4 linked regions of the Notamacropus eugenii genome follow. The protein of the gene in region 2 interacts with the protein of the main gene of each other region in a pairwise test. Links are inferred from orthologs where the notes say so. Each region holds a gene or a part of one and is shown on either strand. Other genes may lie near its edges.

The links.
Region 1: the proteins of TEX11 (region 2) and CCDC198 interact in binary tests that used the Homo sapiens proteins (3 or more experiments, as listed by UniProt). The two-hybrid records come from large-scale screens. The link is inferred for Notamacropus eugenii from reciprocal best matches to the Homo sapiens genes TEX11 and CCDC198.
Region 3: the proteins of TEX11 (region 2) and SNX7 interact in binary tests that used the Homo sapiens proteins (3 or more experiments, as listed by UniProt). The two-hybrid records come from large-scale screens. The link is inferred for Notamacropus eugenii from reciprocal best matches to the Homo sapiens genes TEX11 and SNX7.
Region 4: the proteins of TEX11 (region 2) and NEFL interact in a two-hybrid assay, tested with the Homo sapiens proteins (2 studies listed by BioGRID and IntAct). The two-hybrid records come from large-scale screens. The link is inferred for Notamacropus eugenii from reciprocal best matches to the Homo sapiens genes TEX11 and NEFL.

What each region holds. Positions count from the first base shown.
Region 1 is NC_092872.1:300,385,648-300,393,196, reverse strand, and holds the start of CCDC198 (factor associated with metabolism and energy), read left to right. Parts: upstream 1-4,549; 5' UTR 4,550-4,699; coding exon 4,700-4,922; intron 4,923-7,549. UniProt on the Homo sapiens protein: May be involved in tuning the metabolism, energy expenditure, and excretion processes.
Region 2 is NC_092879.1:100,228,580-100,235,551, reverse strand, and holds the start of TEX11 (testis-expressed protein 11), read right to left. Parts: upstream 3,014-6,972; 5' UTR 2,854-3,013; intron 488-2,853; 5' UTR 461-487; coding exon 427-460; intron 1-426. Other genes in the region: SLC7A3 (cationic amino acid transporter 3), read right to left, coding at 6,114-6,238, 6,354-6,462, 6,623-6,789, 6,915-6,972. UniProt on the Homo sapiens protein: Regulator of crossing-over during meiosis. Involved in initiation and/or maintenance of chromosome synapsis and formation of crossovers.
Region 3 is NC_092873.1:274,704,857-274,711,782, reverse strand, and holds the start of SNX7 (sorting nexin-7), read right to left. Parts: upstream 3,010-6,926; 5' UTR 2,953-3,009; coding exon 2,755-2,952; intron 1-2,754. UniProt on the Homo sapiens protein: Involved in the regulation of endocytosis and in several stages of intracellular trafficking. Together with SNX4, involved in autophagosome assembly by regulating trafficking and recycling of phospholipid scramblase ATG9A.
Region 4 is NC_092872.1:742,703,666-742,711,570, forward strand, and holds the start of NEFL (neurofilament light polypeptide), read right to left. Parts: upstream 3,011-7,905; 5' UTR 2,892-3,010; coding exon 1,833-2,891; intron 74-1,832; coding exon 1-73. UniProt on the Homo sapiens protein: Neurofilaments usually contain three intermediate filament proteins: NEFL, NEFM, and NEFH which are involved in the maintenance of neuronal caliber.

The sequences.
Region 1 (7,549 bases), on a different chromosome or scaffold from region 2:
ATGGTAGGGTCAAAGTCATCCTCCCTCACACAGAACTTTGTTTATAATTCTCTAATAATGATGACAATAATGACAATAGTTGGCATTGACAGAGCACCTTAATATTTGGGAAGTGCTTTACATGTATTATTTGCCATGATACTCACAAGAACCCTGTGAAGAAGGTGCCATTATTATCTCCATTTTACAGATGAGGAAGAAAGGAGGGAAAAGAGAGAGAGAACAGGGACTATTTAAAAAAATGATTTATGTCCCCAACACTTGGCTTAGTGCTGGGAACAGAAGTCTTGAAAAATACTTATTGACTTGAGGCTTTAAAAGGGTAAGTGGTTTGCCCAGGGCAACATACGTAGAAAATGCCTACTAGAGGATTCGAACTTATCTTTCTGACTCTAAGTCCAATACTTTATACATTTTATTACCATTTTGTACTATGGTTATTTTTATATGGTATTAATAGGTATTGTATTGGTCTCTAACCTGTGAATAGCCAGAGCTGCACAAAGCAGGCCAGAGACAGGAGTGCCAGGAAACAAGTAGAAGTTTAATTAATTACTTTAAGAGTGAGAAATGCTCTCTGTGCTGGAATAAAGGCATAATTTATATACATAAATCACAAGTGGCGAAGGAGAGGAAGATGGATTACAAAACAATCATTTCCAGGTCCTAAGTGGTTTCCCATTACAAGCCTAAGAGGGCAGGACAATACAGGCATTCGGAGTCCTGTAGGAATAGTATTGCTCCAAGTCGTGGGGTCATTACTCAGTGGGACATGGGACCAGAGTTCTGGGATGGGAACAGGTTCTACAATCTTTGATTTGCTTCATTTAAGGTACACAGGCACAGGCATATGGTGCTTGTGAGAGCCTTGTTGAGGGTTTGATTGATCATTTTAAGCTACATTGTGACTTTCTGACTCCCAAGCCAGAGGAGGCAGCTCTGAGAAATCTAAATTATTAGTATATTCATTATACATATCATATCAATTAATATGAAAATAATCATTCCAATGGTAAGGTTTTTAAGATTGTAAGGTTTATTCAAGGAAGTTCCCTCATCAGCTTGATAAACCTATAGAGTGGTGAAACTTTGTAAGGGTTTTTGAGTATATATTCCCGTGGAGGCTATGGACATATCTTTTCCCACACCTTAGAAGACTGGTCACGTTGATTGTGGCTACACCCAAAATAAATTGATTGACTTGTACCATTGGGAGGTTGTATTCTCGTAGAAGGAATCATTCCATTATGCTCAGCTAAAAAATGGGAATCCTAATGAAGAACTCATTTTTATATGAGTTTAAGAACTCAGCCTTTTCTACTTCTCTTTCAAATAGATCTGAAAGCACAGCAGAAATGGGCATGGAGAGTATGAAGAGTGGGTAGGTTCCTAGGAGCCATTAATGATGTCATTGTAGCAAAAGCATATGGCCCAAGATATGAATTGCTGAACCTGAAATTCCTGGCAGCCTTTCTTTTCTCTTGTCTGATTATTGAACAGAGACTTTTCTAGCAAAAAATAAAAATGGCAAGAGTGAATATAATGGAGTGGAATACTGAAAGTTTCTGGAGTTGCAGTGGCAAAGGAAAACATGATCATACCATTGTCATAGCTAAGAAGAGGATCTTCTAGACAGTGACAGCTTTGGGGGTAGCTTTGTGAGTTGTCTCAAGTTCAAAAGTTCATGCATCCAGTCTTCTATCCAAAGAAAAGAAAGCATGGACATTATGTTTCTTGAAAAGAGAAGAGAATGATAAATACGGGTCTTAATGTTGAGAGGAATAACTGTAAGGGACTAAAGCCATGATATAAAGGGAATAATGGATCTGGATTTTCTCCTTTGCTATTAGAATTATTTGGCTGATGTAGACCTAATGGTAAGCAGGGGGTGAGGGGGTGGTCAGGTGGGGAATTGGGGAGAGGTTGCTAATTGTCTGCTAATCCTAGTACGTTTTCTCTCTGGGGGAGTTTAAGACCTCAGAGTAGCACTATGAAGTTTAATCGATGTATCGCTTCAGAGTGAAGGGGGGCTCACCAGAATGTGGGAGCATTGTCTGCTTGAACACTCTTCTAGGAAGCCCAAACCACAAGATGGCACTATGAGTGTGGGAGAAAGGACAGCATTTATCCTAGCGTGAAGCAAGATTTGCCAGAATGGAGGAACACTATCTGTTAGAAAGTGTGTTTCCCTTATAGCAATTCCATGGGGTGCCCTGAGTCTGGAGAATTTTAGGTCCCTGGAAAGTAGGATTTACCAGAGAAGGAGGAGAATGGTATTGATTATGGAATATTGGCAATCTTTTGTGTGTTTTCTGAAACTATTCTGTGTTTCTATGAGACCTTTGTATTTTCTGAACTTGTAAAATAAAGCTTGTCACATAAAAAAGAACGTATATTACTTTGCACTATTGTATGAGATCTGGGAACCCTGTTATTCATAACTGTGGAAAACTAGCACATGAACTATATTTGGAGATTTTCCCAGCATAAACTCTGAGAACAGCATGAGCCTGAGTAACTCAATTTGGGGGAAAGGGTAAGCCCTAAAATCAGCCCCAGTTCTCATAAGCCCAGAGTCAAGGAGTTCTGAACCATGGGTCATAACTATGTATCATATCTCCTGTGTAGTAGATAGTGTTGGGTCTGGAGTCAGGAAGACAGTTCAAATCTGGCCTCAGACACTAGCTGTGTGACCATGAACAAGTCACTCTGTTTCCCTCAATTTCCTTGTCAGCATAATGACCCGAATGGCAAACCACTCCAGTATGTCTTCCCCAAGAAAACCCCAAATGGGGTCACAAAGAGTTGGACATGACCAAAAATAACAAACAACAATAAAAACTAGACTATCTGCCCTACAATAGCAGGGACTGAGTATCTTTTAAATTTTGAATCTTCCCCAGTGCCAAATGTGATCTTCTACATAGAGTAGGCTTTGAATAAATGTTAGTTGAACTGAACTGAAATCAGTACTTGCTGTCTTCAACATGGTTCAGTTATGTAAATATTTGGCCTTTCCATTCAATGACTCAATTTAAAGGGTGATGATACACATTTCATTAAGCTGCCCTGACTTAGCAATCTCTTAAAGAAGCTTCCATTTATAATATCAATTTATTATGCTATGATACCTGTCTACCAAGTAGCACTTGTTATATAGTCTCCCTCAAGTCCAATGGATAAATGGATAGAGGAAAGCAATTGCCTAGAGGAAATTAAAATTTAGGTCATATATCACTTCTGCTTAGCCATCCAGACACATAATTTACATTGCTGCAAGGACTCTAGAGATTGATTTCCCATTACCAATCAGTTGCAGAATGGACTTAAACTGTATTAGAAACATACTTTGGAGATCCTGTAAACACAAACTATAAACTGTATCAACAGCATGGTCAATACATAATAATTAACCCATGCAAGAAACTAAACCCATTTGTAAGTTATATGCAAAACTTGTTATAAATCTCATCACAAACTTCTCCCAGAGACCCATTAGCACAGTAGAAAAGGGTAGCAGTTTTAATCAATTTGTCTACTGTGTCTCTAGAATTTATTCCTGTAGAATACTGCTACCACATTAGATGTATATAGAAACGAAAAAATATCCAAATGTTGCTCATGGACAATAAAACTCAATTTTCTCTAGTCTTTCCTTTTTTTTATTTCCAGGCATCAACAAATCTCTCACAAAGGTGCCAAAATGTTTCTTCATGCACATCTGCCTGTCACTTCTCTGCTAAAATATTAACAGAGTAAAAAAAAAAAAAACCTTACATACACAAACACAGAAACCAAAACAGGGCTTTCCTGAAGCCTGTAGGATAAAATGCAGACTCCTGAGTCTGGCATTTAAGGTCCTCTACAAGGTAGCTCCAACTTACCTTTCCAGCCTTATTTGATTTCAATCTCTCTCATATACTATCTGGTTTTTCCAAAAATGAACTACTGGCTGCTCCCACATTCCATATTCATTGACGCTGGCCATACCCCACACTGAAATGTTCTACATCACTGCTTCCTGCTAAAATCCTTTTTCTTACTTCAAAACAGTCCAGTGATACCTCTGCCATAAAACCTTTCTTCATGTCCTCCCTCACAAACTGAATGTGCTTTTCCCAAGTACTTTTGTCTATATATTTCCTTTTCTCCTATTCCACTTTGCCTTTACAGTATACTTATTTCCTAATACATTGTAGGTTCCTTGTGGGCAGAGAGTATATATTTCCATCTTAGTATCTCTGGTTCCTAGAACAACGTCTTGCATATACTGGGGTGAATATTTATTAATTAATTATTTGTAGGATTCAAGAACAATTGAATTTTCCAAACCTTCCTGCTACAAATATACTAATGGCTTTTTCTGGTATTAAAAAATTTGTCTAATAATTAATAGAAGTTAGTATTCCTTACACTAATACTTCCAGAAAAAAGCCCAATGAAATCAATGTTTAACAGAATTTTGATGCAGGAATGACTACTAGGGAGGAGTTAATAGGGGAGTAGCCATAGAAACCAACCTATCATGGAAAAGTCCAAAGGGGTTATGTGTAATGAAACAGAACCAGAAGGATGTCTTGAACTAAAAGACTGCTTTACAAAGCAACAAGAAAGAAACACACCTTAACACCAGGGCAAGCTGAAAGTCCAAGATTCTCCTCATTTCCCCCATACATATTTTTAATGTCCTTAAAGTGAAATGGGGTCAAAACACTCTAAGACTCACCCTAGGGTGACCAGAGTGGCCCCTATGCAAGATAAAGACTCAATGTGTTCCCCAGCCAGCCCTGTGGACTTGGTATTCAATGACAATTCAGAGGATCAAAGTTTATATTCATTTGCAAGACTACAAGAGAAGAAGAAAACATTGGACAGGCAGCTGCCACCACTTCGGGAGACTTTGTATGGGAGATATTCTTCAGGTAAAAATAAAAATGGCATGGAAATCATGCTTTCAGGTGAAGAAAGGCTATTGATAGATTTATGTGGTTGTTTTTACATAGAACTGGAATTTTCTGAATACAGCTAAAAAAAGATGATAATATATTGAAAGATAAAAGTTTTGCAATTAAGAATATGTCCAGGGGAGCAGAGGAGTTTTTTGGAAGGATGTGTGAGAAAGATTTTTGCAGTTCTGGATGCAGGGTGAGGAGAAATCATTTTGATACATTTCAGTTTACTGTTTCTTACTTTTTTACACACAAATCACATTATACCGTTAAGTACTGTGTGTATGTATGTGAATCAATAATAATGATCATCAGTCATATATAGTTTAAGTCAGAAATAATTTTTATAATATCTTATATCACCAGGGAAATAGAGTTGAAACACTTTGAGTAACTGCGAACTAGTAATGATTCTAGAGGGAAACAGAATAAGTGGATAGGACATTCCTTTCTTTCCTTCATATTCTTTTTTTCTCCTTATACATCTTCAAGTTAAGAAGAGATATTCCCCTACTTTGATTACAGGAATGGACCCTGAAGTGACTATAAATTATCTCTGGATAATCCAAGTAAAAATTTTTCCCCAGTGTTTTATGACAGAGCACTTAACTATGAATTACATTTTGAGAAAACGTTATTATTGGATATTTCCAAACTATCTGAAAAGCAAGTATTTCCATTAATGGCCTTTCAGTTTTTGTTTCCCATTCCAGGTTTATAAAAGAAATAAATGTATCTAGTTACTTAGTGAGGAAGCATTATTCCATATAACTAACAACTGTTTCAGGAACTCATGTGCATGATACTACCATGTTCCTACAATTGGCTGGTTTAATTTCTCTTCTGTATATATGTGTGCATTTGATGCATTTCTCAGTTTCCTAATGACAGAATGGAATTTTCTCTTTAGATTTTCACTGACAAAGGTGCCTTTTATGCCCCAATTTTTTTCTCGAGAATAGAAGTTTTTGCTTGTGCCAAGAAAATTATTGCAATTGAATGAAGAAAGGGAACCCACTTTGTAAGGCAAGGCTCTAAACTGCTCTTTCATGCTTAGATGTGAATGACAAGAATAAAAAATTTTAAAAAGCAGCATATAGGAATGAAAACATCATTAACTAATGTTCAGGAGAGCTGAGTTCTAGGCATAGCTGCACCACTCTCTAGTTCTGTGACCTTTGGCAAATCACTAAATATTTTCATTTATATCAGGTTGCTCATCTTTAAAATAGGTATATTAACATATCTCTAATATTTCACATAGGTACTGGAAACACATAATGAGAGAGAAAATGCCTTCAAGCCCAATTCAAAAACAAGGAATTAATAATAATATTTGACATCTAGCTGGCATATGGGAATCTTTCACCAAAAATACTTTAAGTATTGAGTTCCGAGTTCCACTGAGTTCCACCTAAAGTACCTCATGCTATGTGAAATAATGAATAGAGTGCTGGACTTGGAGTTATAAAGACCCAAGTTCAAATCATTCCTCAGAGATTTACTGGATATGTGGCTCTGGGAAAGTTCTTCAATCTCTCTCTGCTTCTGTTTCTTCATCCATAATTAGGGATAAGAATAATCCCTCCTTCATATGGTTGTTGTGAGGACTGAAGGAGATAACACTCAATATGTAACACATGTGAAGTGTTTGAAACCCTTAATACTCTATATAAATGTTAGCTATGTGATTATCACCATAATTATTATTTTGTACTGCTTAATGCAAAAGTATCACTTTCAATAAGCTAAACCTGAAAAACCTGCTTCACTTAAAATTACAGAGAAAAATAAGTCATTGCTGTATGCATTTTCTCATTATAAGGAAAAGCACTGGTAAATTACTGGTTTGTGACCTTTGGGCAAGTCAGTTTCTGAGTTCCCAGACAACTAGAAGCAAAATAATTATAGATTTGCAATTGGAGAAGGATTTTCCACACCTGGAGTTCCTTCTACCAATAAAATCATAGGTTCCATACCAAAAATTAAAAAAAATATCCCAAACCTTGGAATTTTCCATTGATGGTAAGACTGAGGGGAATTGTGGGTAAGATATTTAAAAATCAGAGAGAGCCTAAATTGTTATAAAAAGTCAAGAAATGAACTTTTGTTTAAGTTTTGTCATGTTATAATCCTTTAGGCAACCTTTAAAAATGAGACCAAGAAATGCCTTGCAGATCTGAGTTTTGTCACAGAGCTTCTTATTTTTTCAGTCCCCTTATTATAGTTACATCTAAATGGCAACCTACAGAGAAGGGAATCAACCCCTTTCATTGGTGTTAGAGTTTACTTAAGAAGAAAGAGCATCTTCCTTTCTAAGTCTTCAATAAATATCTATGTTGCTCATCCACTGTCTTTATATGAAATTTATTCAATGGATGTATGATAAGATTATATATAATAAATCATGGCTGGGAATTCATACCTCAAAGGAAATGCTTTGTTCCCGTATCTTACTAATTTTGTAAAGCAACATCTTTGTACTTCCAGTGCCTACTACAGTGACTTATACAAAGCAAGCACTTAATAAAGATTTATGGTCTCCAAAGTGAGGGCTATGGCTGGACCTCAAGGGAACCATGGCCTAATGCCAAGGAGGT
Region 2 (6,972 bases):
TCTTAGTGTGGAAATTCCCTCCACTGATGCTGACCAGAGCAACTCACCTGAACCTTAGTCTTACATGGAAGTTGCCTGGGAGCCAGTCAATATATTAGAGGGAAGACTTAAGGTTGGGTCTGCCTGATTCCAAGACAGGCTCGTTACAGTTGCCTCTCAGGAGTCTAATGATGACTCATACTTAGCAAGCTCGCTTTATACCATGGGTGAATCAGTAAACTCCCCTGGTCAAGAGCCTGACAAGTGGCCAGTGGGTCCCTAGGGAGTCCACCAGGCCCCTCAGGCCTCTTGTCAAACCCACCAGGCCTGGTCCCACCCTCTCCTTAGTCCTGCCTGTTGATGTCATTTGTTGAAGGTGGCTGCCTTTACAGATCACAAGGACACCAAGGCCCCCTCAGCGGAGATTCCCTGGACTTCACGCTGTACCTTTCAACTCCTCAAAATGAAGCTCCCCCTCCATGTGGACACACTTCTGGATCACCAGCACCTAGAAAATTAAAGGCACACTTTGGCTGGGCTTCCCTTAGAGGGGCGCCCTGCCTGGCCCTCCCTGCCTGACTTGGCCTTGGGTCACTCCAGGGTCCCCTCCTCCTCTCGGGCCCTCGGCCCCCCCCACCCGGCCTCCCAGGGCCCCCTCCTCCTCTCAGGCACTTAGATCTGGACACCTGGCCTCGTGGATCCCCTGTCACGTCTCGGGACCCCTCATCCTCTCGGGCCCTCGGCCTCCCCACCCGGCCTCCCAGGGCCCCCTCCTCCTCTCGGGCCCTCGGCCCCCCCCCCACCCAGCCTCCCGGGGCCCCCTCCTCCTCTCAGGCACTTAGCCCCCCACACCTGGCCTCGTGGATCCCCTGCCACATCTCAAAGCTCCTCCTCCTCTCGGGCCCTCGGCCCCCCCCCCCCTCCCCCCGGCTTCCCGGGGCTCCCTCCTCCTCTCAGGCACTTAGATCCGGACACCTGGCCTCGTGGATCCCCTGTCACGTCTCGGGACCCCTCCTCCTCTCGGGCCCTCAGCCCCCCCACCCGGCTTCCCAGGGCCCCCTCCTCCTCTCGGGCCTTCAGCTCCCCCACCTGACCTCCCGGAGCCCCCTCCTCCTCTCAGGCACTTAGCCCCCCCACACCTGGCCTCGTGGATCCCCTGCCACATCTCAAAGCTCCTCCTCCTCTCGGACCCTCAGCCCCCCCACCCGGCCTCCCAGGGCCCCCTCCTCCTCTCGGGCCCTCAGCCCCCCCACCCGGCCTCCCGGGGCCCCCTCCTCCTCTCGGGCCCTCAGCCCCCCCACCTGACCTCCCGGAGCCCCCTCCTCCTCTCAGGCACTTAGCCCCCCACACCTGGCCTCGTGGATCCCCTGCCACATCTCAAAGCTCCTCCTCCTCTCGGACCCTCAGCCCCCCCACCCGGCCTCCCAGGGCCCCCTCCTCCTCTCGGGCCCTCAGCTCCCCCACCTGGCCTCCCGGAGCCCCCTCCTCCTCTCAGGCACTTAGCCCCCCACACCTGGCCTCGTGGATCCCCTGTCACGTCTCGGGACCCCTCCTCCTCTCGGGCCCTCAGCCCCCCCACCTGGCCTCCCGGGGCCCCCTCCTCCTCTCGGGCCCTCAGCCCCCCCACCTGACCTCCCGGAGCCCCCTCCTCCTCTCAGGCACTTAGGTCCGGACACCTGGCCTCGTGGATCCCCTGTCACGTCTCGGGACCCCTCCTCCTCTCGGGCCCTCAGCCCCCCCACCCGGCCTCCCAGGGCCCCCTCCTCCTCTCGGGCCTTCAGCTCCCCCACCTGGCCTCCCGGAGCCCCCTCCTCCTCTCAGGCACTTAGCCCCCCACACCTGGCCTCGTGGATCCCCTGTCACGTCTCGGGACCCCTCCTCCTCTCGGGCCCTCAGCCCCCCCACCTGGCCTCCCGGGGCCCCCTCCTCCTCTCGGGCCCTCAGCCCCCCCACCTGACCTCCCGGAGCCCCCTCCTCCTCTCAGGCACTTAGATCCGGACACCTGGCCTCGTGGATCCCCTGTCACGTCTCGGGACCCCTCCTCCTCTCGGGCCCTCAGCCCCCCCACCTGGCCTCCCGGGGCCCCCTCCTCCTCTCGGGCCCTCAGCCCCCCCACCTGACCTCCCGGAGCCCCCTCCTCCTCTCAGGCACTTAGATCCGGACACCTGGCCTCGTGGATCCCCTGTCACGTCTCGGGACCCCTCCTCCTCTCGGGCCCTCAGCCCCCCCACCCGGCCTCCCAGGGCCCCCTCCTCCTCTCAGGCCCTCGGCCCCCCAACCTGGCCTCGTGGATCCCCTGCCGCATCTCAAAGCTCCTCCTCCTCTCGGGCACTTAGCCCCCCCACCCAGCCTCCCAGGGCCCCCTCCTCCTCTCGGGCCCTCAGCCCCCCCACCCGGCCTCCCAGGGCCCCCTCCTCCTCTCGGGCCCTCAGCCCCCCCACCCGGCCTCCCGGGGCCCCCTCCTCCTCTCAGGCCCTCAGCCCCCCCACCTGACCTCCCGGAGCCCCCTCCTCCTCTCAGGCACTTAGCCCCCCACACCTGGCCTCGTGGATCCCCTGCTGGGTCTTGGGGCCCCTCCTCCTCTCGGGCCCTCAGCCCCCCCACCTGGCCTCCCAGGGCCCCCTCCTCCTCTCGGGCCCTCAGCCCCCCCACCCGGCCTCCCGGGGCCCCCCTCCTCCTCTCAGGCCCTCAGCCCCCCCACCTGACCTCCCGGAGCCCCCTCCTCCTCTCAGGCACTTAGCCCCCCACACCTGGCCTCGTGGATCCCCTGCTGGGTCTTGGGGCCCCTCCTCCTCTCAGGCCCTCAGCCCCCCCACCCGGCCTCCCGGGCCCCCTCCTCCCCTTGGACCTCGCCGCCCCTTGGGACCCACGAACCTAGTGACAGAAGAGGACGTACGCGCCCCAGCAAGCGGAGGCCTCGAAGGGACAAGGCCCTCCAAGTCAGCGGCCCAGGAAAGCGAGCGAGCTGAAGGAGGGTCCCGCCCAGCGCCCTGGGCTGCCGTCTCCTCAGTCACTGCCAAAGTTACTTTAGCTCGTTCTATTGGTGCCAGGTAACCTTTTGTTGGCGGATGCAGAAGAACGCGCAGTGATTGGGCGTTAAGGAGAGCATGCTGCTTCCTCATTGGTCAAGATGCCTCTACCCCCGCCTCTTTTCCCCAACAGGCAATTGGTGGAGAATCCTCCAATCAGGTCTCGTCTTTCTCCCTCTCTGAGGGCTCCGGTCTGGCTAAGCAGCCTGGAGGTCAAGTGGAAGGGCTAGGAGAATGGAGTGGGGGTGCTGGGAGGGGCACGTGGCCCAGAGCGGCTGCCCAGGAGCCACTGCCCCACACAGCCCTGGCCCGCAAGCCCTCCGTCTGCATACAGCCACCTTCCTGATACTCACCCCCTGACCAAGCTCCTATGAGCCCCCTCCCCCGCCCCCATAGCCCTGCCTCCTGGACGGCCCCTGGGCAGCCCCCAGGGCCTCAGAGGATTGGGGCAGAGGCTAGAGAGCTGAATTGAGTTAGGCTCCGGATCCCCAACCAGAAGGGCTTGGAGAAGCTCTGGAGACAAAGAGAGGCCACCCCATGATGTCAACAAGCCCAGGCACGACCCCCAGTTACTCCTCTGGAGGCTCCCAGAATTTCACTCCCTCCCTTCAGACTTTTTCCACTTGTGCATTCCTTCCTCCTCTCTCAATTCAAATCATGAGTATCTATGGAGCCTTAAGCCTATTCTAGTCAAGGCACAAAAGACCATTCTGCTCTGGAGAGCTATTACTGAAGGATCTGTCTGAAGGTCTGGAGGCCACCCTGCTGCTTCCCTTAATGTTCCATGGATCCCACTGGGCAGGAAGGTCCCAATCCCCTTCTCCTCCTCTTCTAGTCATAGATTTCCCAGCACACATACACTACACTGACTTTATAACCATCATACATTTTTCCATTGCACCTTTCAGGCATCTGCAACCAGAATTTGGGATTGGGATTCTTCTGAGATTTCGGGTTTACCGAGACTCATTTGAAGCTGTATATAGCCTTAGTGGGAGATTGGTGTTAAAGAGACTTTTGTGTATGGGAGCCAAGTGAGAGGGTTAAAAGCACTGTCACGTATATAGTGCTTGATGGAGCTTTCTGCAGCTCTTTAAATCAATCTCATTGGATCCAGCACCTGGCCAACCACAGTCCTGAGAGGTAGGTGTTATACTCATTTGATAGATAAAATAAAGGCCCAGAAAGATTTAGAGCTTTGGCCATGATCATAGACCGAGCTCCTAAGAAATAGAGAGTTAGAGCTGGGAAGGTTAGACTTTGCCAGGCTTAACAGTCCCTCTCGACTCAGAGCAACTTTCTCTACTCCTTCCTCACTCAGTTGTTGTGAAAGGGCCCCTAGCTGCCCAAGGCTCAGATTCTTGACTCTTCACAGGACAAAGATCATGTCACATGGTAGAATTTCACAGGGGTAAGCATACCACACACCTAGGGGAGAGGAAAGGGCAATGGGGGGGGGGGGGGGGGGGAATTGATGGAAGAGAAGAGCAGAAAAGAGCCAAGACTCTTTCTTGTGCCCTGAAGGATATCCTTCTAACTCGATTACAGGGTGACTGGAAAAGGGCAGTGGAGAATGTAAACTTTGCCAATCCCTTTGATTCTCTCTTCATTCTAAATACTGAAAGGAGCCAGGCTGGGGGGCGGAGGGGAGCAGGCCACACAGCACCTCATTCCCTTTTCATCACATTATCAGGTGGTCCTCACCTTGCAAATCTCAAGCTTCACATGGTTTTCACTTAACTAGAACCACTGAAGCCCTCCAAAGTTTGTGTCCTAAATCTGGGATCTTAATTTCCATGTTCAAGTATTTTCAGGTACTGACTCCAAGGCCTCCAAGGAGCTGGGTGATTCCTTTGGTCGAGTGATTGCAAACAGAGCTCCCAAACTGCAGAATTTGTAGGCACTGAGTTGGTATCATTGGAAAGGACCAAGAGAAGGGAAAAGTGTAGACAAAAGTGTGTTAGATGCTGTATGTCAGGTACTGTGCTAAGGGCTTTACAGATGTTATTTCACTGGATGCTTCCAGCAACCCTGTGAAGTAGTGGCTATTATTATGTCCACTTTACAGGTGAGGGAACTCGTAAACAGATGTTAACTAACTGGCCCGGGGTCACACTGGTAACCAAAGGTGAGTATGAATTTGAACTCCTGATTCCTGATTTTCCTGATTCCAGGCCCAGCACTCTACCCACTGTGTCATCAGCTGCTACCCATATGATACCCAGGCCATGGGTGGTCTGGCTATTCCCTAGCATAAACTGGCCTGGTGATGGGGAAGGAGGGATGTGGGAAGACCTCAGCATTACACGTGAAGCTATTGATGATGAAGTAGTTGGGGGCACAACTTGAGCTGAAAAAATGGAAGCAACTAAAAGAAATACAAGTCAATTCATGGCATTAGATCTGGCTAAAACCTTCTTCCCAACCTCTCAGCTCCAGGCTGAGAGCCTCCTCTCCTCCCATATGGCTCAAGAGCAGGAGAATCTTCAGCTGTGCTCCGATGTCACCCTTGAGCCAGCAGTCAGAACAGCCTTGGAGCAGCCCAGAGTGAGGAGGGTAGGCCAGAGACCCAAGTCACAAAAGAGCTGTCATCTCCTGCCTCCCCTTCAAAGAAAAGGCCCCAAGGCCCCAGCCCTCTGTGCTTGTCTGGAAGGCATTTCTTCCTCCATCTATTTGCCTCAGCCTTAAGCCATCTAGAACCCCCACACCAAGTTGCCCACATCTAAGCACAGCTGATTCCCTCCCTGGTTGGGGAGAACACAGTTCCAGGAACCAGGCAGCCTGAGAGGTAAGAAAAAAGGGAGTGGAAGAACCCAGAGAAGAGGATACACAGTTCCTGATTTTATTTTCCTCTGTTTAATTCAAAAAGCTCACAAAGTAGACTTCAGTAAAAAAGGTCAGACGAGAAACAGCAAAAGGTCAGTCCTTCAATCATAATAAATACAGTTCTGTTTAAGAACCTCCCCCTTACCCTTCCAGGCCTCATGACCCACCTGGCCCAACAGAGTCCAAATCCCCTACGTGTCGAGAAGACAAGTTGAGCAAGAACACAAAGACAGAGGCGATCTCCAGTGTTGTACCAACAGCATCGCTAGGCTGTCCGAGTCAGACAGAAGGGCCAACAGGGTGGCTGACTTCAGAAGTTTTGGCAGTCTTTGCAGGCTGGGGCATTGGCTCACTCTGACCCTCTAGGCTGTTCCGGATCCCATAGGTGAAGTAGATGGCAAACCCTGAGGGGAGGAAGAAAAGTGGCTGTGAGGTGGGAGAACAGAACCCAAGAGGCCTAAGAGGAACATGAAAAAAAAGTTGGAGGTCAGGTCCCTCCGTCCAAGGACAGATACTTACCAACCATCATCCAGATCCCAAATCGGGCCCAGGTGCCAGCCTTCATCTGCATCATGAGATAAACATTCACAAAAATGCTCAGCAGTGGGAGGACAGGCAGTGCAGGCACCTGAAGGAAGGGCACAATAAGAGGAACTCTCATGACTATGGAGGGTGCCAGGGAGAAAAACAAGATTCACTAAAATGATAAACACAAGATGGTAAAGCGGTGCTAGCATTGGCACACCATGGCTTCTCCTCGGTGCTTCTTCCCCTCAGAAGTCTCTTACCTTGAAGTGGAGATGAGTCGGGTTCTGGGGCTGCCTCCAGATGATGACAGTGGCCACAATGCCTAGCAACAGGAACAGGGCACTCACAGTAATCCAGGTGGGCTTCCCGGCCCTCAGCTGCTCTGACCAGTAGCCCAGCACCAAGCACAGGCCGGTTATCACCACAGCTGCAGGGTGAGAGAGGGAGAAGAAATCAGATCAAAGCAGACTGCATGCCAGGCCCAAATCAACCCATCTCTGGGGCCCTAGATACCCCATCCTGCTCTGCCCTGGTCCCCACTCCACTGCTCACCAAGAATCGATACAGCTACATAAACAATATGGCCAGAGAGCTGGGTGGGTGTAGAGTG
Region 3 (6,926 bases), on a different chromosome or scaffold from region 2:
CTTATTAAGCATTTCCTCAATTCAAAGTACTATGCTAGGAGAATTATAAAGATAAAACTAAACAAGGTCCTAGGCTGTGAGGAGTTTACAATTTGGTAAGAGAGATGACACCCAATTAAAAGTGAATGAATTATGTATTCAAGATCAATGTGTATAAGACACTTGGCTAAGTAGTGGAGATATCCAAAAAAAGTAATTAATATTAATTTAATTGATTAATTAAAGTTAAAATGATAATTAAATCAATAAATGAACAAATAAATAAATGAATAAATCATAAAACATTTACTGACCTCAAAGAGTTAAGAGCTGACTGCAAGGTACATGTAGAGAAATAACTATTAAGAAGTGTTTTGAGAATTGAGGGTTAGGTCTTTTCTGGCTACCAGAAGACATCAGAGAAAATGTCAGGAAAGAGTCAATATTTGAGCTGAACTTTGAAATATGGATAGGACATTAACACATATGAAGTTTAACAGAATGGGATGATGTCAGAGTTGGAAAGCTTTGAATGCCAGGCTAAGGTATAGGCATTATTGGAAAACCTCTAGGATTTCATTGAAGGTTCTCAAGTGAAGAGACATTATGGGAGTTATTCTATGGGATGGTTTATTTGGTAACGACATCAATCAACTAAACCAACTATTTAAAAGTTTTCTAAAATACTGTCCTTCAACTAAGGAAAGTCAGAGGATTCCCTGCTAATATTTTCTCTCCCACTCATCTTTCAACTCCCCAGATGGTCACATAGCCATGAAGCCCTGCTATCAGTGATTTACTTTCATTTGGAAATCAAACAGTGGCACTTATAGTTCACATATACATGATTAAGTAAACTATTCTCCAACACAGATTTTAAGACCTTTGAAAGCAATAACTATTTCGTGTGTTTCTTTAGATCTACATATTGGTCACACTATTGCCTGCTCAGTATTTGCAATCCACTAAAATATAAATGAAGGGATAACCTAAAAGTCTGCAAACTGTCATTGCATTACTGTCAGACATTACCCCAAATTACTAGATGTTGAGACAAATGCTCCATTTCAACCAAGTACAAATATTATATAGTGTTTGACCCTAGACACTGACTGGCAATGTGAAGGGAAAGAGGCCAACCCATTGCTGTGTAATGTGAACGTGGCATGTAAGTGTATTTAGGAGCTAATTAATTTACTCAACAACTTATTCAACTAAATTGTCCCATGAGATCAGAGATCTGAGAGTCTTGCTATATTACTTTTCACTTTGGGACCTAAAGGACTTTTGTTTTTTGTTTTGTTTTCCCCCCATAGAAATCAGTTTATTATTATTGTTTTATCAGTTTATTGTTATTGTTTTCCATTAGGAAACATAAAGTGGGAGAATTCTATTTAAAGAACCTAACTCTCTTAAGGGCGTGGGACAGGAAAGTATAGTATTGGATTCATTTATCATCCATAAACTATTACGAACAAGACAATCCAGGTCTTAGGAGCTAAAGATGTGGAGTGAGACAATTCTTGCCGTAAAAAAAAGTTTACAATCTCAGTCTTCTTTGAAGCAATTCAGGCGACAAAATCAAGCCAAGGACCAGCTTGTCCAGTCCCTTCACAATTCGGCGTATAAAGGGACTGGTTATAATTAAGTTCACTTACCCAGGACCTCAATGTAACATTTAACTGCTGCAAAAGCAGTAGTAATTAATACATTGTCTTACTCTCAACCCACAGCCTCCACTGACAGAAACTTGGGAGAAGATGGAGTTTCATTCACCGTCTCCCAAAATCATTTTCTTAAAAGAAAAGAATAACTATCAGTGAAAAATAGACAAGCCTGCAAGAATCTAGGGTCTCTCAAAAATCCTGCAGGACATTATGCCTGAGGGCTCATGAGATGAGTCTTTGCTCTTTAATTAACATGTGGAAACTAGTTTCCAGTTGGATCTCCCTCTCCAAAAGTTGTTTCTTTGGATCTCATTTCTATTTGAAACCCCTTCCATTCCCTCTAGGTGGGTGGGTAGTGGTTAGGGCAGGGCGACAGCCACGGGACAGGGGTTCTTTCTCCTGCTGTACTTCTATGTGTAAAGCTTGGGCTTCCATTCTCAGTCTCTAAATCAAAAAATCTAAACCTGAAATCCAAGCGGGTGCCCTCTAAGCCCCAGGCTCTCTCCTCCCCTGAATTCTCAGGGCACAAGGAAAAGGAAGACAGCGGGGCGAGGACAGGGTCTGTTTGCATCTAACCACGCATCTAACCTGGCACGGTCTGATCGGGTAAGGCAGTGGGGAAGGGGAAAGAGTCGAGGATGCTGGGACTGAGCTTTCCTTTCTTCACCCCAGTAGGACAGCAGAACTTTGCAGTCTTTGAAAGCTAGACATGCTCATATGCACAGAGGGTCAAAGTGCGGAGAAAGGAGAGGCTGAGAATTGAAAGCCCAGCTGTTTGATTCCAGGCTGAAAACTTCTCTCCGGACAAAGGCTCGGAGGTTTGCAAAGAGTCTATGTCTGGCTTCCAGAAAGCTACAGCTGGGTAAGACAATCGGAGAAGGAAAAGAGGAGGAAGACAAGGAAGACAGGAGGAGGAGGAAAAGGAGGAGAAAAAAGAAGCTGGCGACACCCCCCACCCCTTTCTTTCGCGTCCCTCCCCTTCACACACACCCCCCCCCCCCAAATCTCCTGGTAGGACCAGGCCCCGCTGACAAGCTCGGTGGCAGCTCTAGGAGAGGAGTTGGGAAGTTTCCCCGAGACGCGCCACCGCGTCTGCCGCCGCCCTCACCTTGCTGAAGACCTCCAGGTCATCCTCGTCCTCATCCAGGTCCAGCACCTCGGGCTGCATCAGGGCTGCGGCCCCACGGCCGCCGCGGGGGCTCTCCCCGCCATCGCTGCCCGCCCTGCTGCCGCCGCCGCCGCCGCCGCCCGCTCCGCCCGGGGGCCCCGGAGAGAAGGACTGCGGTAGCCAGCTCTCGCCGTCCATCCCGTCCGTGTGTGCGAGCCCAGCGGGCCGCCCGGGCAGCTTCGACTCCCCCGAGCTTGCCCATTGGCTCCGCGCACATCCTCCGCCTCCCCTCCCCGTCCTCTTCCCAGCCCCTGGGCCCGCCGCGCTGCGCAGAAGCGGAACTACCGGGCTGCGAGCCCTGCTACGCGGCGCAGAGGCTGAGCCGGGGCTGGGCTCCGCGGGGCTGGGCTGCGCTGGATTGCGCTGGACTGTGCTGGCAAACCACTAGAGAGGCACAACACTGGCCCGGGGTCGGTGGGAGACGGAGAACCCCAGAGGGAGAAGCTCGGATGGGAGATCCCCCCAAACACTGCTCCTCTGAGAAAGATCAGGCTTGGAGGCTAGGAGGGGGCCACGAAGGACCCCCAAAGTACAAGAAAGACCAGAACATGCCGGTGGGGGCAGGGTGGAGAGAGGTCGGGGAAGAATGTACAGAATGGATGAACCGAGCTTTCTAGGCAAGAAAAACAGGGCTCTGGAGAAACAGATAAGAATTGGAAGAAGAGAGATGGCAGATTTTTTTATATCCCCCCCAACGCCCCACCCCCGTATTCTCGTTCCATTGTGCTCAGATTGCCAAGTGTCTACTTGGTCTAGTTTACTTATGCAAAAAGGAAAACACACAGGAAGCTTGTTCACTCGATTAGACAGGTGTTGAGGTTTCAGTTTCAGATCTTTTTTCCACTGGTAAATCTTGAAGTCAAATACTCTGCATGATACGGAGGAATGACTTGGAAAGATGCCTAGACTTGGAGCCAGGGCATCTGGGTTAAAAATCCTGGTTCTGCACTTTAGTTACCTAAGGTAGAGACTGGACTGCATGAACTCTAGGGCTCCTTTCGGTTCCAATTCAGAGCCTGGTTTTACAGCCGAAGAGGCCACGGAATCCAACCCCCGCATTTTAGATGAAGAAACTGCAGTCAGAGAAACTTCCTTGTTCAGTAAATGCTAGTAAATGTCTGAGTCAGGATAAAAACAAGTCTTCTTGATGCCAAGTCCAGTTCTCTCTCCTCTGTGTCATGGAACTGCTACTATGTTCTTTGAGTATACTGGAATAGGAGGGAAAATCCAGAATTGATGTCAGTTGATCTGGACTTGGCAGCAGGAAAACAGACTTGTATTGAAAGCCTGCCTCATTCACAGAGCTGTTTGACCCCGGGTTAATTGTTTAATTTCTCTGCACATCAGTTAACTTAAAATCTAAGATCTCCAGCAGCTTTAAATCTGTGATCTTGATTTCCTCATCTAAATGCTGATAAACCCAATGTGTTGCCTCTCCCAAAAGCTAAATGGTGTTTATATAGCGCTTCGAGGAAAAGAAAGTGAGGTTGGTAACCTTGCACAGCCCTCCCTCACTCAAATCAAAGTCAACTCCAAGTCATGTCACCATTTTAATGTTATGGTCCTCTTAGAGGACAAACAATATATAGCGCTTTAAGGTTTGCAAAGTACTTTACGTATGCTAACTCAGTTGATCCTTAGAACAGTCCTATGAGGTAGACACCCTTATTAACCCCAAATTAAAGATGAGGAAACTGAGGCTGAGAGAGACTTAGTGACTAGCCAGGTCTCCCCAACTCCTAAGGGGCTGGAGCAGGAGACAAACTCCAGTCATCAGCACACTGCCCACATTGCCACCTAGGGGCCAATAAAAGGTAAGATCTTTGAAAGCAGGGAGTGTGTTCTGATTTTGTCTTTATAACCCCAGTTCCTGTTTTATATTAGGTGTTTAAGGAAAACAACCTACCAACCAAGTAGGTGCTTCATAAGTCCTTTTTATTTTTAATAAATGCTTTTAATAAATGATTTGTTATATGATGTTGGGTGTCTTCACCTCAATTACCCTCAATTTCTCATTTTCTGGCATAATTTAATAGGACTATTCAGTTCTGTATTCCAAATCCATTACCTCTCTATAATGAATACCATGTATTTTTCTTGGGCCTCTTTTGAAAGAGACCAAAGAAGCCAGTAGGCAAATTCAGATTCACTTGCCTGTGTGAATTATTAGCATTAAGTAGATGAACAAATGTCGCAAGAGTTAAGTTAAAGTAAGGAGCTTTCAACACAACAACATTCTTCAAATTGCATAAAGCCTATGTCTGGGCTGTGCAGATGAGTGAGTTCTAACTCTGTCTAGCTGTCAGCAGACCCAATCATTCTCTCTAATCCTATTCTACTTTCAGACCTGCCACCAGGTATGAACCCTTTCCTCAACATGATTTTTCCCCCTTCTTTACCACTTGCTCTGGGAATAATAGATCAATACTGTCACTGATTGAAATTGACTATCCTATGACTCCACTCATCACAGTGACTTGCCAGACCAAAACGCCTTCCCTGTCCACTATTCCCATATATATATGATTTGTTCAGTCGTGCCCAACCCATTTGGGGTTTTCTTGGCAAAGATATTGGAGTAGTTTGCCATTTCCTTCTCTAGCTCATTTGACAGATGAGGAAACTGAGATGGAAAGGATTATGTGACTTACCTAGGATTACACAGCTAGTAAGTTTCTGAAGCTAAATTTCAACTCAGGTCTTGCTGAATCCAAGACTGGCACTTTATTCACCATACCACCTAATTTTCCCCTTCTCCACCCTTTCAGAATATAAGTTCATTGAAGGTAACAACTGTCCAGCTTTTGTATTTTCATCCCCTAGTACTCACTTCAGTGCCCAGTATATATAGTAAGCCCTTAATAAATGCTTTTTCTTACACTCATTGATTAGAGATGCAAAACCAAAAGGGCATTTTTCCTGTTCCTTGAACATGACCCTCCATTTCCAGTATCTGAGTCTTTTCCCTTGCAGTCCCTTTTGCTTGCCATGTTGCCCCTTTTCATCTCTGCCTATTGGCTTCCCTGGCCTCCTTCAAAAGAGGCCCAAGAAAAATACATGCTATCTATTATAGAGAGGTAATGGATTTGGAATGCAGAACTGAACATATATAATTTTTTGTACTATCATTGGGAAGATTTGCTTGTCTATCCCTATTTGTTACAAGAAATGTGTTTTTTATTTTATGTTTAATGGACTGGGGGTAGGAGAAAGGAAATAGATTGTGTTGATTTCTTTTAATAGGAAGGGGGTACTACAGATGTGAAATGCTGCCTGCACTTTTAGATGAGGTCAGTGTATTGTTAGTTTTAATTTTCTGTTTTATTTTGTTACCAAAACCTCTCTTAAAATGGGAGTAATTTATAAATTTATGTAATTTAGTCTATGTGAGAGTTAACATAGATCTGGACTAGCCTGGTTGCTCTGTGAATGGAGAGAAGGGGACACAAAATGCTGTGAAGATAGAAATGATAAGAATTGACAACACATCCACTGTTCCATGAACAAAAGGAGAAAAATAATTAATGATTATTCTTTTGAAAAAAGCAGATATCATTTCACTGTTCCCAGTGTCCTTTGTTATTCCTGTACTGTAATTAACAAAATTCCTTTCACCTTAAACTTCTGCCCTCTAGCCCTTCCATTTTTTTTCCTTCACCAAGATCTTCCTGCTCAGCCATTCCTTCTAGTATTGGTTGCATTTTCTCTCAAACCCCAACCTCAATTTGGTGATCCCAATGGAGAAGACAAAATACTCCCCCCACTTCTAGACTTTTCCTCTACCACCATTACTCAATATCTTCTCTTTTGAGGTTCATGTTATCTAAACTTATTGCCCAAATCAGATCCTGGTTGTCCTTATCTACCAATCCCCAAGACATTCTTTGTTGGGATTGGAAGCTCAATTCCGTGTGGACAGTCTCGGGCGGGTAAAGGTGGGAGCTTCTAAATCTTAGAGCTCTCACGAGACCCCCCCAGGAAACAGCTGGGAATCGAGGTGAACCGAGCTATCTCGAGTAATTCCGCCTCTTCCCGTGAGAAACGTGATGGGAGAGAGATCTCCCCGCCCTCGAGATTGTCCCGGATCTGGGCACACCTAGTTACCTAACAGC
Region 4 (7,905 bases), on a different chromosome or scaffold from region 2:
GGTATTCTTTCAAGTATCTCGCCATCTCGCTCTTGGTGGTTCTCAGTTCATTTTCCAATTTGTTAATTGTGTCCTGTCAGGAGTGAAAAAGCAACCTGGAATACAAACCTCTATTTCCTCTCCAAGCATGTTGCCCTGAAAAGGGGAGGTGAACATACTGGCACATTTTCAGAGGCAGAGTCCATATCATGGTCTGCCAACCTCCAGTCTCGGCTCTATTCACTCAGAAATGGCTTTGTTTCCTCTGTACCCCAGAATTTTCCTGAATTCTCCTATGCCAGCTCCCAAACCGTACAGTGAAGGCTCACCTCCAGAGCTCCAAGGCTCTGCTGGAGAAGCTGCCTCCTTGGAACTGTCCCATCCCTCCTGGTACTGACTGAAAAAGCCTGCTTGTTTGTTACAAGCCCACTCTCCACTAGAGATCTGAGGGTCAGTCACACATCGGCCCTGCTCTTTCTTCAACTTGCTTTTCCCTGCATCCTGGATGGAAGCCAGCACAGCCACAGAAAGAGAAAGCCTATTATTCAGCAAGGCTTGGATTAGACTTAATGGGGACCAAGATAAGAGCTCCGGAGATATAAGGACAATGGAGGGTTGCGGCTCTTTGTAAAGAGCGAGCTTATCTCTTCTTCAGCAACTGACAGGACATGTAGGAGCAAGCCATCCCCCTCCCCTCCAGGCCTGTTTCTTCTCCAAGGCATTTTGCTGACTCTAAAATATTTATTAAATCAGCGTAGGGATAGGACCAGAGATTCCTTCTGTATAGGGAACTCACAACTGTTTCTGTCTCTGCAGAGCAACATGTCTGACAACAGAGTCTTAGAGAGTTAGCTCGGGCATCAAGAGGTTAAGTGACTTGATCAGAACCTAACTGCCCATGAGAGTCAGAAGCAGAACTCGAACCCAGATCTTCCTGGCCTCTAAGACAGGCTTCCTCTGTTACATAAATACCAGTTATTATTGACAACAATAATCCTACCCGTCTTAAATTTCTACAATGAGAACTTTAGATCTCCAAATCTGTCTCTGTTTTAATGTTCTGTACAGACTTCATACAGGCATTTGGAGCATCCTCTTGTCTTCCTTTGGTGTCCTACATCACTACAGTCTTCTGATATGTGGCCTTCCTTCTATAGAAAGGCACGTGTTTTACTGTTACCATCACTTAACTTGACCACGGGGAGAGGGGGGAATAGGCAGAGAGGGATTAGGGAGATAAATTCATAACTACTGCCACCTATCGGGGAGAAGAGGAATGCTCGACACATTTACTAACTGGGCGAACAGAAATAGTCCAACAGCGTGTAGGAGGCACCTCCCCTCCATTTCTCCGCCTCTCGCCTCTAACACAGAGTCAGGGTAGGATGTGCCAAAGAAAAAACACCCAGTTGCACACAGCGACCTCTGCCTCCATCCACCTGTCCCTAAGGGGACTCTATACCCTACCCCAAAGCTCTAACACCTGCAGTGCGTAAGTTGCCTTCCTCATGGCCCCCACCCCTCTCCATAATGATGCTGGCTCTAAAGTGATGTTCTGGAAAGCGTTGGGAACATAAGAAATTTGAACCACAATCTCAAGGCTATGTAGTTTCCTTAGGTAAATCGCCCCGCCCCTCCCGCGCCTCAGTTTCCTCTTATGTCAAATGAGACGGCAGGATGAAATGGCTACTTAAGTCACTCCGCGCCTCATTTTCCTCGCCTGAGCAATAAGCAGGTTGCCCCTCCAGAGGCCCGCCCCTCCCCCGCAGACCTGCCCAGCTGAGCTCCTCCACCACCCCGCCCCCCGCAGTCCCCTGGCTGCTCCCCGCTGTCCTGGACCGGACGTGCCTTACCTGAAGGGCGCTGATGTCGGCATTCTGCTTGTCCTCCAGCTCCTGCAGCTGCTTCTCCAGGGCCTCGTTCATGCCGCGGCACGCTTCGATCTCCAGCGTCTTGGCCTTGAGCAGGCGGCGGCTCTCGGACACTTCGTCCTTGGCTGCGCGCACGGCGTCCGTGTTCTTGGCGGCGCTCTCGGTGAGCACGGTGAAGCGGCTTTTGAACCACTCCTCGGCATTCTGCATGTTCTTGGCCGCCAGCTTCTCGTACTGCGAGCGGATGTCCTTGAGCGCCGCGGACAGGTCGGGCTTGGCGGACACGTCCATCTCCACGGAGATCTGCGCGTACTGGATCTGCGCCTGCAGCTCGGCGATCTCTTCCTCGTGCACTTTCTTAAGGAAGGCGATCTCGTCCAGCAGGCTGTCAATGCGCTTCTCGAGCTCGGCGCGGGCCAGGGCCGCCTCATCCGCGCCCTTGCGCGCCTCCAGCAGGCGACCCTCGGCGTCCTCGCGGCTCAGCACCTCCTCCTCATAGCGCGCCTGGAGCGCACGCAGGGTCTCCTCCAGGCCATCCCGCTCGCCCTGCAGCGCCTGCTTCTCGGCGCTCGCGTCCTCGACGGCGAGCCGCAGGTCTCGGATCTCCTGCTCATAAAGGGCACGGAAGCGCGACGGCTCGGCGTGCTTCTGCCGCAGCACCAGCAGCTCGGCCTCGAGGACCTTGTTCTGCTGCTCTAATTCGTGGACGCGCTCGATGAAGCTGGCGAAGCGGTCGTTGAGGTCCTGCAGCTGCACCTTCTCCTGCGTGCGGATGGACTTGAGGTCGTTGCTGATGGCGGCCACCTGGCTCAGGTCCAGGCTCTCCAGGCTGGGCAGCAGCGAGGAGCTGGACGAGTAACTGCGGCGAACGGAGAGCGCGGCGGAGGAGCCGGGGGCGGAGTAGCTGGAGTAGGCCGAGCGCGCCGCGCTGCTGTAGCCGCTGCGCACCGACGAGATGTGCACTCGCGGGCTTTCGGCGGTGCTGGCATAGCGCCGCTTGTACGCCGTGGCGTAGTACGGCTCGTAGCCGAAGGAGCTCATGCTGCCGGTGTGGGGGATCGGGGGCCGCAGCCCGGCCGGCCGCCTGCCCGCTGCCTGCCCGGCGGGGAGGAGGAGAGAGATGGGGAGGAGGAGAGAGGAGGGCAGGAGGACGGATGGCTGTGTGCGGCTCGCGGCTGCCCGGCCGCCCCCTTTTATACCCGAGCTGGGACTGACGCAGCCTCGGAGCCCTCCCTCGCCTGGCTGCGGGGGGCGGTGGCCAGCGCCTTGCGGCAGCCAAAGAAAGACGTTGCGCAACTCTGGAGGGCGGGGGGAAAGAGCAGGAGCAGAAGGATAGACTGCCAGGGGAGGAAAGAGAGAGGGAAGCAGAGCTCAGCCAGGAAAGGACTCTGGAGATTCGCTGCCCCACCCAGCCCCCCTGCAACTCCACTAGGCTCCTCGCCTCTCCGCCAACCTGCAGCTCCTTGAGCTATCCCCGGCCTCCATTTCTTTTCTCCGGCTCCCCATCCTTTCCCCTTCTTGCTTGGACACAGCCACTGTGCCATCTTCTCTTTCCCATCTTCTGAGTTCTCGCTCTCTACTCCCCGCCCAGGCCATGGAACTCTTGCCCTTAGTCCACCTGGTGCCTTCCTCGGGGACCCCGGAGGCCTCAGGCTCTTTTGTCTCTTGCCCACCCAGCCAACCCCACTAAAACTACTTCAGCTCTTGCGTTCCCTGAGACGTTGCAGTTTCTCCAGGGAGTCTGAGCTGAAGTATTCTACATCCATTAACCCAGGATTTAGAAAAATGAGGTGTAGAACTGGTTAAAATGAGCGTCGTTAACTAGGGGTCCAGAGAGGTAACCGTGGATAAATGTCCGTGAACTTGGAACCCTTGCATCATTATAACTAGTTTCCTTTGTAACCCTATGCGGTTTATTTTATGAATTTAAGAACGTTCTGACAAGGGGACCGGAGGCATCATCAGACTGCCGAAGTGGTCCAGAACCCGAAAAGGGGAGGGAAGGAAATCCTGATGGAAGGAATCCCATCCCCTGCCAGCAGTCATAGGCTTTTTTTCTCCCCCAAAGTCTTAGCAATTTTCCTATGTCCTTTAACCCCTTGGTGTCCCAACCTCTCTGCATAAATAGACCCCCCGGGAAAGTTCCCTCCTGGAACGAAGTCACATTTTCCCCCAGCTCTGAATCCAGTTTTGCTTTAAACTTGACCCCATTTGGATTTGCCTGGTTGGTTTGTTTTAATTGCCCTGTAGTCCGTATGGTTTCAAAGCTAGTGAGTTAGTCATTAAACATTTTTAAAGGCCTACTGTGTGTCAGGCACTTTAAGTGCTGAGAGTAAATGGGGGAGGGGGAAAAGGGCCTAGGGGAGAGTGGCTTGAATTTCTAAGCAAAGAGAACTTCACTGTGGTTGGCTTTTCAAACCTCCGAGAGTAGCACGCTAATGCAGAGCTGGTACCGACAGTCAGTACTGCTGTCCCAACTGCATTAGCCTCTCTGATAAGCTCCTAATGGCTGTCTTGAAGTATTTAACCTTTCACATTTTTCCCCCTCCAGACAATTCAGTTCACCAGATTTAGAGCAGTCAGGCAGACTCTATGTCCTGTCTATGGTTCTAACTCTGAAATTTAGTGCCTGTGGGACCCTGAACAACTCACTCAGCCTGCTCGGTTCTCGGTTTTCTCTTCTGCAAAATGAGTTGAACTAGTTGATCTCTCAGGTCTCTTTCCTGACGGAGATCTGTGATACTAGAAGATAGCCTCCCACTTCTGGCATCCTATCTATACTTCTGGGACGGCATTCTACAGAAGAGCAATGGTTAATCCTCCGGGTTCAGTACAGTGCCTCATTATTCCTCTGCAGGCTCAAAATAGCGAGAGAGTTTTCCTCCCCCGCCTGGTATGAATGATAAAACAGGTAACAGTTGCTGGGGAAGAGATTCAGTGAAGGCACAATAGATTTCTCTCTTCCCCCCATTTTTTGGGGGGAGGGGGGCATTTTTATCTCTTCAAAGGAATCTCCCTCTGCATTCCAACCCTAATGAACTTCCAGAGCTGAAGGGTACCTGGAGCAGAGTTTTCACGGCACCAAAGAGAAAAACCTTTTTTTTTATTAGAAAAATTGTTCAAAATTACAGAGTATCATGGATTGTTCTAATCTAGTGACTCTGAGGTTTTTATTGTGAGAGTACAGTTAAGAAAATGTGAGGAGAGGCAACTTGGCATGTGCACACAAAGCCTGTCTTGGAGTCAGAAAGTTTTTCAGACTGTGTCCAATTTTTCATGACTCCACTTGGGGTTTTCTTGACAAAGATACCACAGTGGTTTGCCATTTTCTTTTCCAGCTCATTTTACAGATGAGGAAGTTGAAGCGGATAAGGTTAAGTCACTTACCCAGAGTCACACAGCTAATAAGTGTGTGAGGCCAGATTTGAACTCAGGCAGAGAAGAGTCTGCCAAACTTAAGACTTGGCCCTCTATGCACTGCACCACTTAGGGACACCTAGAGTAGAGAAGACCCAAATTCAGATCCTGCCTCTGATTAGTTCTATGGTGATTGACAAGTTGAGGAACCTCTCAATCCCGATGCAAATTTCTAATGTCACAATTTAAATGAGAGCTGACAATCGGAATCAGTAAAGTGTGTCCTTATAATAGGAGTTCTAATAAACTCAATTGTAGAACCAAAAAAATTCTGAAATTCAAGTGAAAAAAGATGGATGTGCCTAAATGTCTGAAGGACTGCCATAGGAAAGGGAAGATGGATTATTTTTCTATAGGTCCAAAGAATGGATTTTTGCCAATGAGGGGAAGTTATAAGATGGCAGATTTCACTTCTCCCTAAGCAAGAACTCTTAACAACTAAGGTTCACTATTTCAGTAGGCAGTCTCAAGAGGTAATGTGTTCAACATCACCAATTAGATAACCTATCCTAAAAAGGCCATTTGTATGAAGTGACAGGTGGACCTTGGTGACTTCCCTTGCACCAATCCCCTAGTCAAGAAGCTTCAGTGGTTCTCTAATTTGTCATGATGATAAAATGAAAGCTCCTCCATTTGGCCTTTGAAACCCTTCACCACCTTTCTGTCTTTCCAGAATGTTTACTCATTACTCCCCCTGCTCACACACTGAATTTCAAACTGATCTCCTTGCTGATTCTGATACATAACATTTCATTTGCCTCAATGCTTCCCCAAGGCTTCCCCGTCCAGTCACCTCCATCTCTCAGACCTCCTAACTCCTTTTGGTAAAGCAGCACCTCCTACAAGATCTTTCCCATTTCCTCCAGGTGATCCTACTCTAAAGAAATTACATTGTATTTAATTGATATGGATTTTGCATTCACCTATCAATATGGCTTAACCCCTAGATGATAAAATGTAAGAGGGCAGGTAGTGAGCAGTTTTGGTTTTATATGATGCCTGGCATATAGTAGGAACTTAATAAATGCTTGTTTTAATTGAATCTAATCAGATGATTTTCTGGGTTAGAGTGCTGGACCTGAAGTCAGGAGAAAGTTGGATTAGATTCTGGCCAATCTGGCCAACTGTTCTGAGCCTCAGTTCTCCCCAATGGTCAAGGGATAACACTACTTATCTCCCAGAGTTACTAATGAGTTAAGGTATATATAGCAAGAGATTTTCGAAGTTTAAAGAGCTGTGAAAATCTTATTGCTATTACAATAGGATGAGAGGAGCAGGGATTCCACCAGGATAGAAATTTTACTGGGGGGAGGAGGGGAGGAAAAAGAAGGCGGTAGTTGGAGCCCAGCAACTATATTTTGATTGGCTAGGTTTTTTACTGTTCTCAGCCATTCAGAGGACTGGCTGTGTTAAGTCAGGTCTGGGAGCTAGCCTTGGTCCTTATCAAGGGTATGAGAAAGGTTTAGCAGGATGATACAATAGGGTGTGACTATGCTATATTGAACTTATTAATAATACCTGTCTTTTTTCAAACAATTTAAGGGTTGCAAAACATTTTACCTGCATTTAGTGGGATGGGGCAATGTTAAAATGGGTGTGCTTGGATATAATTAAAAAGAAATGGAAACTCCATCACTTAGGCTCAATTCACTTTGTGCTTGCATGAAAGGCTCACTTGCTATGGGCCCCACCCCTCCCAGCAGTTTCAGGTTGCCCCTTCCGAGACTTGTGTCTAGTGGGACCCTTGCCAAGGAGGCTCCACACTGCAGAGGAAACCTCCTAGAAGAGACTGAGTGAGATAAAAGAATGGAAGAGAGGTGATGAGGAAAGGAGCCCAGCACAGCATAAGCTGTGATCCTTTGGTCATAGCCCAGAACCACAAACGGGGTTTGTGTGTGTGAGTGTGTGTGTGTGTGTGTGTGTGTGTGTGTGTGTGTGTGTGAGTGAGTGAGTGAGTGTGTGTGTGTGTGTGTGTGTATGTAGGGGTGTGTGGCATTCATGAGCCAGGGTCTGTACCATAGTGAATGTATTGCCAGCATGGTATGGGAGCTCAGGACTGTCTCAGGAGGAAAGAAGCAAATCCCAGTGCATATTCCTATTTATCTCCCCACATATTTGTGTTGTTCAGTCATTTCAGTCATGTCCAACTCTTTGTGATCCTATATCTTTATGTGAGTAAACCATATGATCGTACAATCCTAGTTCTAAAGCTGGAAGGCACTGAGAAATGTAGCCCAACTCTCCCTCTTTGCATATGAGGAAACTGAGACCAGTGATGTTAAATGTCCAAGGTCACAGAAGTAGTAAGAATCAGAGGCAACTTAAACTTCTATAACTGTCTTGAAGAAGAATTTCGTAAAAAAAAAAAAGGGTGGAGGGGCAGCATGTATAAGGGTTACAACCCCATCCCTTTTCTTTTGCAAGAGTAAGTGAAAACAGTGTTGTGGACTGAATCCACCGTTATAGAAATGCTTCAGATACTTTTTTTAATGCAGAAAAAAAGAAGAAAATCATTTATTGGCAGTGATTTTAAAAAAATTGTACCAGATGGCAGTTACCTCCTTCCCCTTCGTGATGCCTTCCCGATTCACTGCTCAACAAGAGCAAACGTGACCTGACAACTTGAGGACTCTGCCTA